Linked DNA regions of Arabidopsis thaliana. The protein of the gene in region 1 binds, or shares a complex with, the protein of each later gene. Each region holds a gene or a part of one and is shown in the gene's direction. Other genes may lie near its edges.

The links.
Region 2: the proteins of PRK6 (region 1) and LURE1.2 are in contact, whole or in part, in a crystal structure (PDB 5Y9W), measured with the Arabidopsis thaliana proteins. Residues at the interface, in NP_197569.2 of Arabidopsis thaliana: Glu226 (codon at 2,434), Tyr227 (codon at 2,437), Leu228 (codon at 2,440), Cys229 (codon at 2,443), Gly230 (codon at 2,446), Pro231 (codon at 2,449), Val233 (codon at 2,455), Asp234 (codon at 2,458), Val235 (codon at 2,461), Gly236 (codon at 2,464), Cys237 (codon at 2,467), Glu238 (codon at 2,470), Asn239 (codon at 2,473), Ile240 (codon at 2,476), Leu242 (codon at 2,482); in NP_001078701.1 of Arabidopsis thaliana: Tyr57 (codon at 2,078), Asp60 (codon at 2,087), Cys61 (codon at 2,090), Ala64 (codon at 2,099), Arg68 (codon at 2,111), Arg73 (codon at 2,126), Thr74 (codon at 2,129), Cys75 (codon at 2,132), Ser76 (codon at 2,135), Arg79 (codon at 2,144), Lys80 (codon at 2,147), Leu81 (codon at 2,150), Cys82 (codon at 2,153), Arg83 (codon at 2,156), Cys84 (codon at 2,159), Ser85 (codon at 2,162), Ile86 (codon at 2,165), Ser87 (codon at 2,168).

What each region holds. Positions count from the first base shown.
Region 1 is NC_003076.8:7,000,695-7,005,543, forward strand, and holds PRK6 (Leucine-rich repeat protein kinase family protein), read left to right. Parts: upstream 1-1,758; coding exon 1,759-3,169; intron 3,170-3,288; coding exon 3,289-3,857; 3' UTR 3,858-4,081; downstream 4,082-4,849. Other genes in the region: TBL16 (TRICHOME BIREFRINGENCE-LIKE 16), read left to right, coding at 74-902. UniProt on the Arabidopsis thaliana protein: Key receptor for sensing species-specific attractants in cooperation with other pollen receptor-like kinases. Essential for pollen tube reorientation toward attractant peptides.
Region 2 is NC_003076.8:17,472,297-17,475,308, forward strand, and holds LURE1.2 (Putative membrane lipoprotein), read left to right. Parts: upstream 1-1,752; 5' UTR 1,753-1,814; coding exon 1,815-1,863; intron 1,864-1,958; coding exon 1,959-2,182; 3' UTR 2,183-2,189; downstream 2,190-3,012. Other genes in the region: ARP9 (actin-related protein 9), read left to right, coding at 65-135, 216-385, 472-515, 649-698, 814-910, 990-1,133. UniProt on the Arabidopsis thaliana protein: Pollen tube attractants guiding pollen tubes to the ovular micropyle. Attracts specifically pollen tubes from A.thaliana, but not those from A.lyrata. Triggers endocytosis of MDIS1 in the pollen tube tip.

The sequences.
Region 1 (4,849 bases):
CCATAGACGTTGTCAAATATTCCCATCAAGTCCTTAGTAACAGTGCGTGGCTCTATTTTACAAATTCCCTCAGGATGAAGAACAAAACCCTAGCCTTTGTTGGAGACTCGTTGGGAAGACAACAGTTTCAGTCTATGATGTGTATGATCTCGGGAGGCAAAGAGAGACTCGATGTCCTTGATGTGGGACCAGAATTTGGGTTCATAACTCCCGAAGGTGGAGCTCGTCCTGGTGGTTGGGCTTACAGATTCCCAGAAACTAACACAACGGTCCTATACCACTGGTCATCTACACTGTGCGACATAGAACCGCTCAACATCACTGACCCCGCAACTGAACACGCTATGCATCTTGATCGCCCACCAGCGTTTTTACGCCAATACCTTCAAAAGATCGACGTATTGGTAATGAACACAGGTCACCATTGGAACCGCGGGAAGCTCAACGGGAACAAATGGGTGATGCATGTTAATGGCGTTCCCAACACTAACAGGAAGTTAGCTGCTCTTGGGAACGCCAAGAATTTCACAATCCACAGCACAGTTAGTTGGGTTAACTCACAACTCCCTCTCCATCCCGGTCTCAAGGCATTCTACAGAAGCCTTTCACCGAGACATTTCGTGGGTGGGGAATGGAACACCGGAGGGAGCTGCAATAACACAACCCCAATGTCTATCGGGAAAGAAGTTTTGCAAGAGGAGTCAAGCGACTACAGCGCGGGTCGTGCAGTGAAAGGTACAGGGGTTAAGCTTTTAGACATAACAGCCTTATCTCATATTAGAGACGAAGGTCACATATCACGGTTCAGTATCTCGGCTTCACGGGGAGTTCAGGATTGCCTCCATTGGTGCTTGCCCGGTGTTCCTGATACGTGGAATGAAATCCTTTTTGCAATGATCTAAGTTTTCAAGTTACAGCTGTTGCATCAATCAACAGAAAAGTTCAGAGAAAGGGCTTGAGCCAAATCAAAGCCAGCCTTTGATAGCTTTCTACAACACACATTGAAGTTTTAGCGGCAGGAGGTGTAAGTTAGTATTTATTTTGGTACAAAACCAAAGCTCTGGGTATCATAGACGTATTGTCGTTATCGTAACCATACCGGGGTTTGGTTTCGACCATATTTTACAGAACAGATTCTAACTCTTGGAATTTGTCTTTGATCGATTAAAAGAAAATTTTAGAGTTACTTCTAAATAGTTCATGTGTTATCGTTTGGATTCTGCCTAAGCACTAAGCATTTTTCCTTAAAAGCATGAATTTGATGCTGCCTAAATGTGCGCAAATAACCCGAGACATATGAATCGACTGGAAACCTATTCGATTTGTCCGAATTTTAAGATACTAATTATTTCAGTTTCTATAACAGTGATGAGACATTTACCTGTTGAAAAAGAAATAGATAGAGATGCAAATGTATAAGATTAAACTTCAAGATCCTTATCAAAAAATTCTCAAAGCTCTCAGAAACAAGCAAATAGGATTACAAAAATTATAACAAAAACACTATTTTTGGCTTAAAAAAAAGTCTAAACTTTGACAACTAATTCAATCAAAGAAAAAATGCCACCCTTTCCTTCTCAACCTTCACAAACAGACAATGTCCAAAGTTTGGAACAACAAACACAATCTAAACAAAACCACACCTTTCAACAAACTATAGAGCATCATCATCATTATCAAAAACATTGTCCTTGTTTTAAGACGTAACATCCCAACAAGAACAAGAAAAAGAAAAAGAGCATCTCCTCTCTTCAATCCATGGCTGCTGCTGTTCTGAATCCCGGTTTCTTTCTCCTCATCCTCCTCTTATCTTTCTCAATCTCCCCTTCTTTGCAGTATGTGAGCGAGTCCGAACCGCTTGTGCGGTTCAAAAACTCGGTGAAGATAACCAAAGGGGACCTAAATTCATGGAGAGAAGGGACAGATCCTTGCAGTGGGAAATGGTTTGGGATCTATTGCCAAAAGGGTCTAACAGTCTCAGGCATTCACGTCACACGTCTAGGTCTCTCAGGAACCATCACCGTGGATGATTTAAAGGATCTCCCAAATCTAAAGACGATCAGGCTTGACAACAACCTCCTCTCCGGTCCTCTCCCGCATTTCTTTAAACTCCGTGGCCTAAAATCTCTCATGCTCTCTAACAACAGCTTCTCCGGAGAGATCCGTGACGATTTTTTCAAGGACATGTCAAAGCTCAAGCGACTATTTCTTGATCATAACAAGTTCGAGGGAAGTATCCCTTCCTCCATTACGCAGCTCCCTCAACTCGAGGAGCTTCACATGCAAAGTAATAACCTCACCGGAGAGATACCTCCAGAGTTTGGCAGCATGAAGAACCTTAAAGTCCTCGACCTCTCAACCAACAGCCTCGATGGAATCGTCCCGCAAAGCATTGCGGATAAGAAAAATCTCGCTGTTAATTTGACAGAGAACGAATACTTGTGCGGGCCGGTGGTGGACGTTGGATGTGAGAATATTGAGCTAAACGATCCGCAAGAAGGACAACCCCCGTCGAAACCATCCTCCTCGGTACCAGAAACCTCGAACAAGGCCGCAATAAACGCAATCATGGTGTCGATATCGCTTCTTCTCCTGTTCTTTATTATTGTTGGCGTTATAAAGAGGCGAAATAAGAAGAAGAACCCTGACTTTAGAATGCTCGCCAACAACCGTGAAAACGATGTTGTGGAAGTCAGGATATCCGAGTCTTCATCCACGACCGCCAAAAGGTCTACAGATTCAAGCAGGAAGCGCGGTGGGCACTCGGATGACGGTTCCACCAAGAAAGGTGTGTCGAATATTGGTAAAGGTGGTAACGGAGGAGGAGGAGGAGCTCTAGGCGGTGGTATGGGTGACATTATTATGGTGAATACCGACAAAGGTTCCTTCGGTTTACCCGATCTGATGAAGGCTGCAGCCGAGGTGCTTGGCAACGGTAGCCTTGGATCAGCTTACAAGGCGGTGATGACCACTGGATTATCCGTTGTGGTGAAAAGGATTAGGGATATGAATCAACTTGCACGTGAACCTTTCGATGTCGAGATGAGACGATTCGGGAAACTCCGCCACCCTAACATTTTGACCCCTTTAGCCTATCACTACCGCCGCGAAGAGAAGCTTGTAGTCTCCGAATACATGCCTAAAAGCAGCTTGCTTTACGTTTTACATGGTAACCGAAATGCTTCTTTAATTTGTTCCTTTTTATAAGACCTCTCAAAAGCAAATTTCTTGCCAGTTAAAACATTTTAGGAAACCTTTAATAATCTTTGGTATTTTTTTTTTCTCAAGGAGATCGTGGGATATACCATTCCGAGCTAACTTGGGCAACAAGATTGAAGATCATCCAAGGAGTGGCTCACGGAATGAAGTTCTTGCACGAGGAGTTTGCGTCTTATGATCTACCACACGGTAACCTCAAATCCAGCAATGTTCTCCTCAGCGAGACCTACGAGCCTTTGATCAGTGATTACGCATTCTTACCGCTTCTCCAACCAAGCAACGCATCGCAAGCATTGTTTGCTTTCAAGACTCCCGAGTTCGCGCAGACACAACAGGTCTCGCATAAATCAGACGTCTACTGCCTCGGAATTATAATTCTAGAGATCTTGACGGGGAAATTCCCTTCTCAATACTTAAACAACGGTAAAGGCGGGACGGATATAGTACAATGGGTACAATCTTCGGTTGCGGAGCAAAAAGAAGAAGAACTTATCGATCCGGAGATAGTAAACAATACTGAATCAATGCGACAGATGGTGGAATTGTTGCGGGTTGGGGCTGCTTGTATCGCAAGTAATCCAGATGAGAGATTAGACATGAGGGAAGCTGTTAGAAGGATAGAACAAGTAAAAACTTGAAGTGGTGTTTAGAAAGCATGCAATCACGGTTGGAACAATCAAACTCTAAAGAGAAGAAAGAAACCTTTGGATTAATCCGTAGATGTAATACTACTAACGACAAAGCTAAGTGTGAAACAAGGACGAAAAAATTGGGCACGTATATAGGAAAATGGTTTGTATTTCTTGGGAGGGCTTCTATAATTCTTTTGTGGTTGGAGTGATCTATCTTTGCAATGAAATTTAAAAAAAAAAAAAAAAAAAAAAAAAAAAACTTTTCCGTTCCATAAGAAATGCACAACTGTTCACAAGAAAGATACAAATATTTTCACTTTTTTTTACTTTTCTTAATTCTTCTCGTTTTCTCAGTCAAAAGAATAAGGTTAAATGTAAACACTTATTTTCTTCAAGGAAAATCGAAAACTGTTATTTTAACACTAACCATTATATTTTGGGAAATATCGAATTTAAAAATGCATGCAAAAGATTCGAAAGTACCAACCAGTGGTAAAGTCTTTTCACTGTTATTCTTTTCATTTGAATTTTTGACTTTGAAACGCATTCTTCTAATTGAGTATTTAGTTTAGTGGTATTTTTTAAAAAAGGATAGTTCACATGTAGCTACGTTGTCTTCTATATGATATAATAAACTTCTTCAGATTTCATATATATCCCTGAATCTAAGTCTTAACCATCAAAAGCTTACAATTTAAACACAAGCAACCCATTGTGTAAGGAGATTTATAAAGAGCGACATATTAATGGACCCCAAAAGCTTGAGTATTGGGTAGGAGACTCGATTCGAATACGAACAAAGACATATTAAAATTTTGCATGCAAGTCAATTTTAATGAAAGGACCACAAAGAAATTAGGTTTTGTCTTCTTCTTCCTATATACTTAAGTTTAATTATAATTAATTAATAATTGAGACTTTTATGGTAGGCCCCAACCACTCAGCAATGATGTCCCTCTTTTGGGCTTATTCTCAGTGCTGGCTTCTTCCGTATAGGT
Region 2 (3,012 bases), about 10 Mb from region 1:
CCATTTTGCTGTCAATGCTCACCTATGATTTTAGTCTTGAAAATCTTTTGTTTGGTTATGTCAGGTTCCACCAATGGGTCTGTTTTATCCTAACCTTTTGGTCCCTGAAATATTTCCCCAGCCACCACGTCAATGGTCAGAGTTAAACCTTCTTATATTCTTCTCTTTGGTTTAGTTGTCGACCGAGAGATACTCATTTGAAACCTATTGTTTAGGTTTCAAGACTACGAGAATATGTTGGAAGACACTTGGAACATGGACTTTGGAGGTGGTGGTAACATGGGATTACCAATGTGGGATAGTTTTGCATTTTCGCCTTCAAAACCAAAGAAAGAAGAGAAGATTGGTCTCGCTGAAGCCATTACAAGCAGCATTCTCTCTGCTGGTATATGTTGTGATGCACCCTCCTGCATTATATAAAAATCAACACCTAACAAAAACGTTATCCTTTTCTTCTTCCTTTGCTTGTAGGACGCATAGACCTTAGACGGAAGCTTTTCTCCAGCATTCAATTGGTAGATCCTGAAAACCTTTTTTTTTACACACTCAAGTTTTCGCCATGTACTTCCTTAAAATCATGTGCTACCATGTAACTCTTCATACATGAATGTGTTACCTTGGAACTCTCTCTCTCTTTTGGCTTCTCAGATTGGTGGTGCTGGTTTGACGAAAGGTCTTGTAGCGGCAGTGGAAGAAAGGTTTGCTCGTTTCCTTTACCAAACATTTCGTTTTCTAACATCCAGAAGGCACATCCAACTAAACAGAGTATTTTGTTCAACTAATGTTTATGTCCCTCTCTCCTTTGCGTTTCAGAGTTCTTCACGCGATACCTCCAACTGAAGCCATTGATACAGTGCAGGTTCTGCCATCAAGAACGGAGCCACAATTCGTAACTTGGAAAGGAGGAGCGGTACGTTTGCATTTGTTTGCATCTTTTATTTTCTTACCACTCTTGATTTTGTGTATTTATGTACTGAAATTTGAGACAGATATTGGGAATTCTGGACTTTGGGAGGGAGGCTTGGATTGAGAGACATCAATGGATGGTAAATGGGGTTAATAAAGGTGGTCTAAAGAAGTACAAAGACTCTTATCACCTTCAAGGTCAAGCAATGTACTTCATCAACCCCTAGTTTCTGTCTATATCTTAAGCTTTCTCTGTTTCTTATCAGAATACTTTTACTTGTCATAACTCAAAACCAAAAACAAAAATTCTCAGAGTAAATGTTATTTTGCTAAGATATTCTCAGAGTTTGGATTGATTCGAGGCATATAAGAATTTAACTGATTTGGTCATCTTTAAGATCATAACTATTAATAAGGAATCCAAAAGTTATTTAAGGTTTTGTTAGAAAAGCAAGATAGGCATCATGAGTTAGTATATATATATATATATATATATATAATATAGAACTTTTTGATTTTTTTTAATCAAACTATATTATATATATATATGTCTTAGTTCCTAATAAAATGTAAACTTCAATAGAATTTTTGAAATATAAAGTTTTAAACCTGTAATTGTTTGCACTTATTAGATGTATATTACTATTTATACCAATATATAACAGATTTTAATAACTAAACAATTATAATTTTTTAACAAAAACAAACGTAATAGGTTACTGAAATTTACTTTATAACAAAATAAAACGTTTAAATGAAAATTAACTCTTTATATAACATATTTATCTACAGAGCCTATAAATATGACTAAATATTGCTTTAATACTCCAGAGCAAAACAAAAGAAAAACGATTCACAATAATATTTAATATATTTTCTTTGTGATATTGGTTAATTTCTACCAAGAAATGAAGTTGCCTATTATATTCTTAACTCTATTAATTTTTGTTTCTTCATGTAAGTCTAAATTATTTAATTAGGATAATGTGTCAGTATTATAATCATTATAAAAACTGTTTAAGAATTTGATATATCTTTTAAAAATTTGATAGGTACATCAACACTTATAAATGGATCTAGTGATGAAGAGAGAACATATTCTTTCAGTCCAACAACAAGTCCTTTTGATCCACGCTCACTGAACCAAGAACTTAAAATTGGGAGAATTGGTTACTGTTTTGATTGCGCAAGAGCTTGTATGAGACGGGGTAAGTATATTCGTACATGTAGTTTTGAAAGAAAACTTTGTCGTTGCAGTATTAGTGATATTAAATAAGGCATTGTAACTTTGTTAAACATTAATAAAAAAACAAATTATATTACTGTTTAATGTTCATCCATGCTCTTCTTTTTACAATAATGAAAATGTATAATAATCTAAAAGTTTTGTAGTGTGCACTTAACATGAAATTTATTGGAGTTAATAAAGGCTGTCTAAAGAAGTACAAAGACTCTTATCACCTTCAAGGTCAAGCAATGTACTTCATCAACCCCTAGTTTCTGTCTATATCTTAAGCTTTCTCTGTTTCTTATCACAATAACTTTTACTTGTCATAACTCAAAACCAAAAACAAAAGTTCTCAGAGTAAATGTTATTTTGCTAAGATATTGTATGTTTTGTCATGTATTTGATTGAACCCTTTCTCTCTACACAACAAAACCAATTTCTAAGGGAGTTTTATTTTAGATTTATGATGGTTTAAAGAGAGAAAAAAAAAAAAAAAGTAGTTACAGTTTTTTGTCCCACATCGGCAATACGAGAGGGAAGGAGAGCAGAGAAGGGCTTATATAAAGAAGATGGGCCTCACCGTTAGAAATTAAAAAGGGTCGGATGGCTATTTATGCCACGCTCAGCCTAAGATAAGGGGTGAGTGCTGTATGGCAAAATCAAGACATATGGCCGACATTATTTCTGGAACAACCCATGGGTTGGCTCGCTCGGCCGACCCTCCAAATTACAATTAAAAATAATTAAAATTTGTTTATCATACGTTCGGCGTAATTGTTTACTATAATTAGATAAAGAATCCATTTTAATTCCCTCAACTAAAGTATTATTGACAAATACTTTATTCTATATACATTTAAAACTCCAAATGACTATCG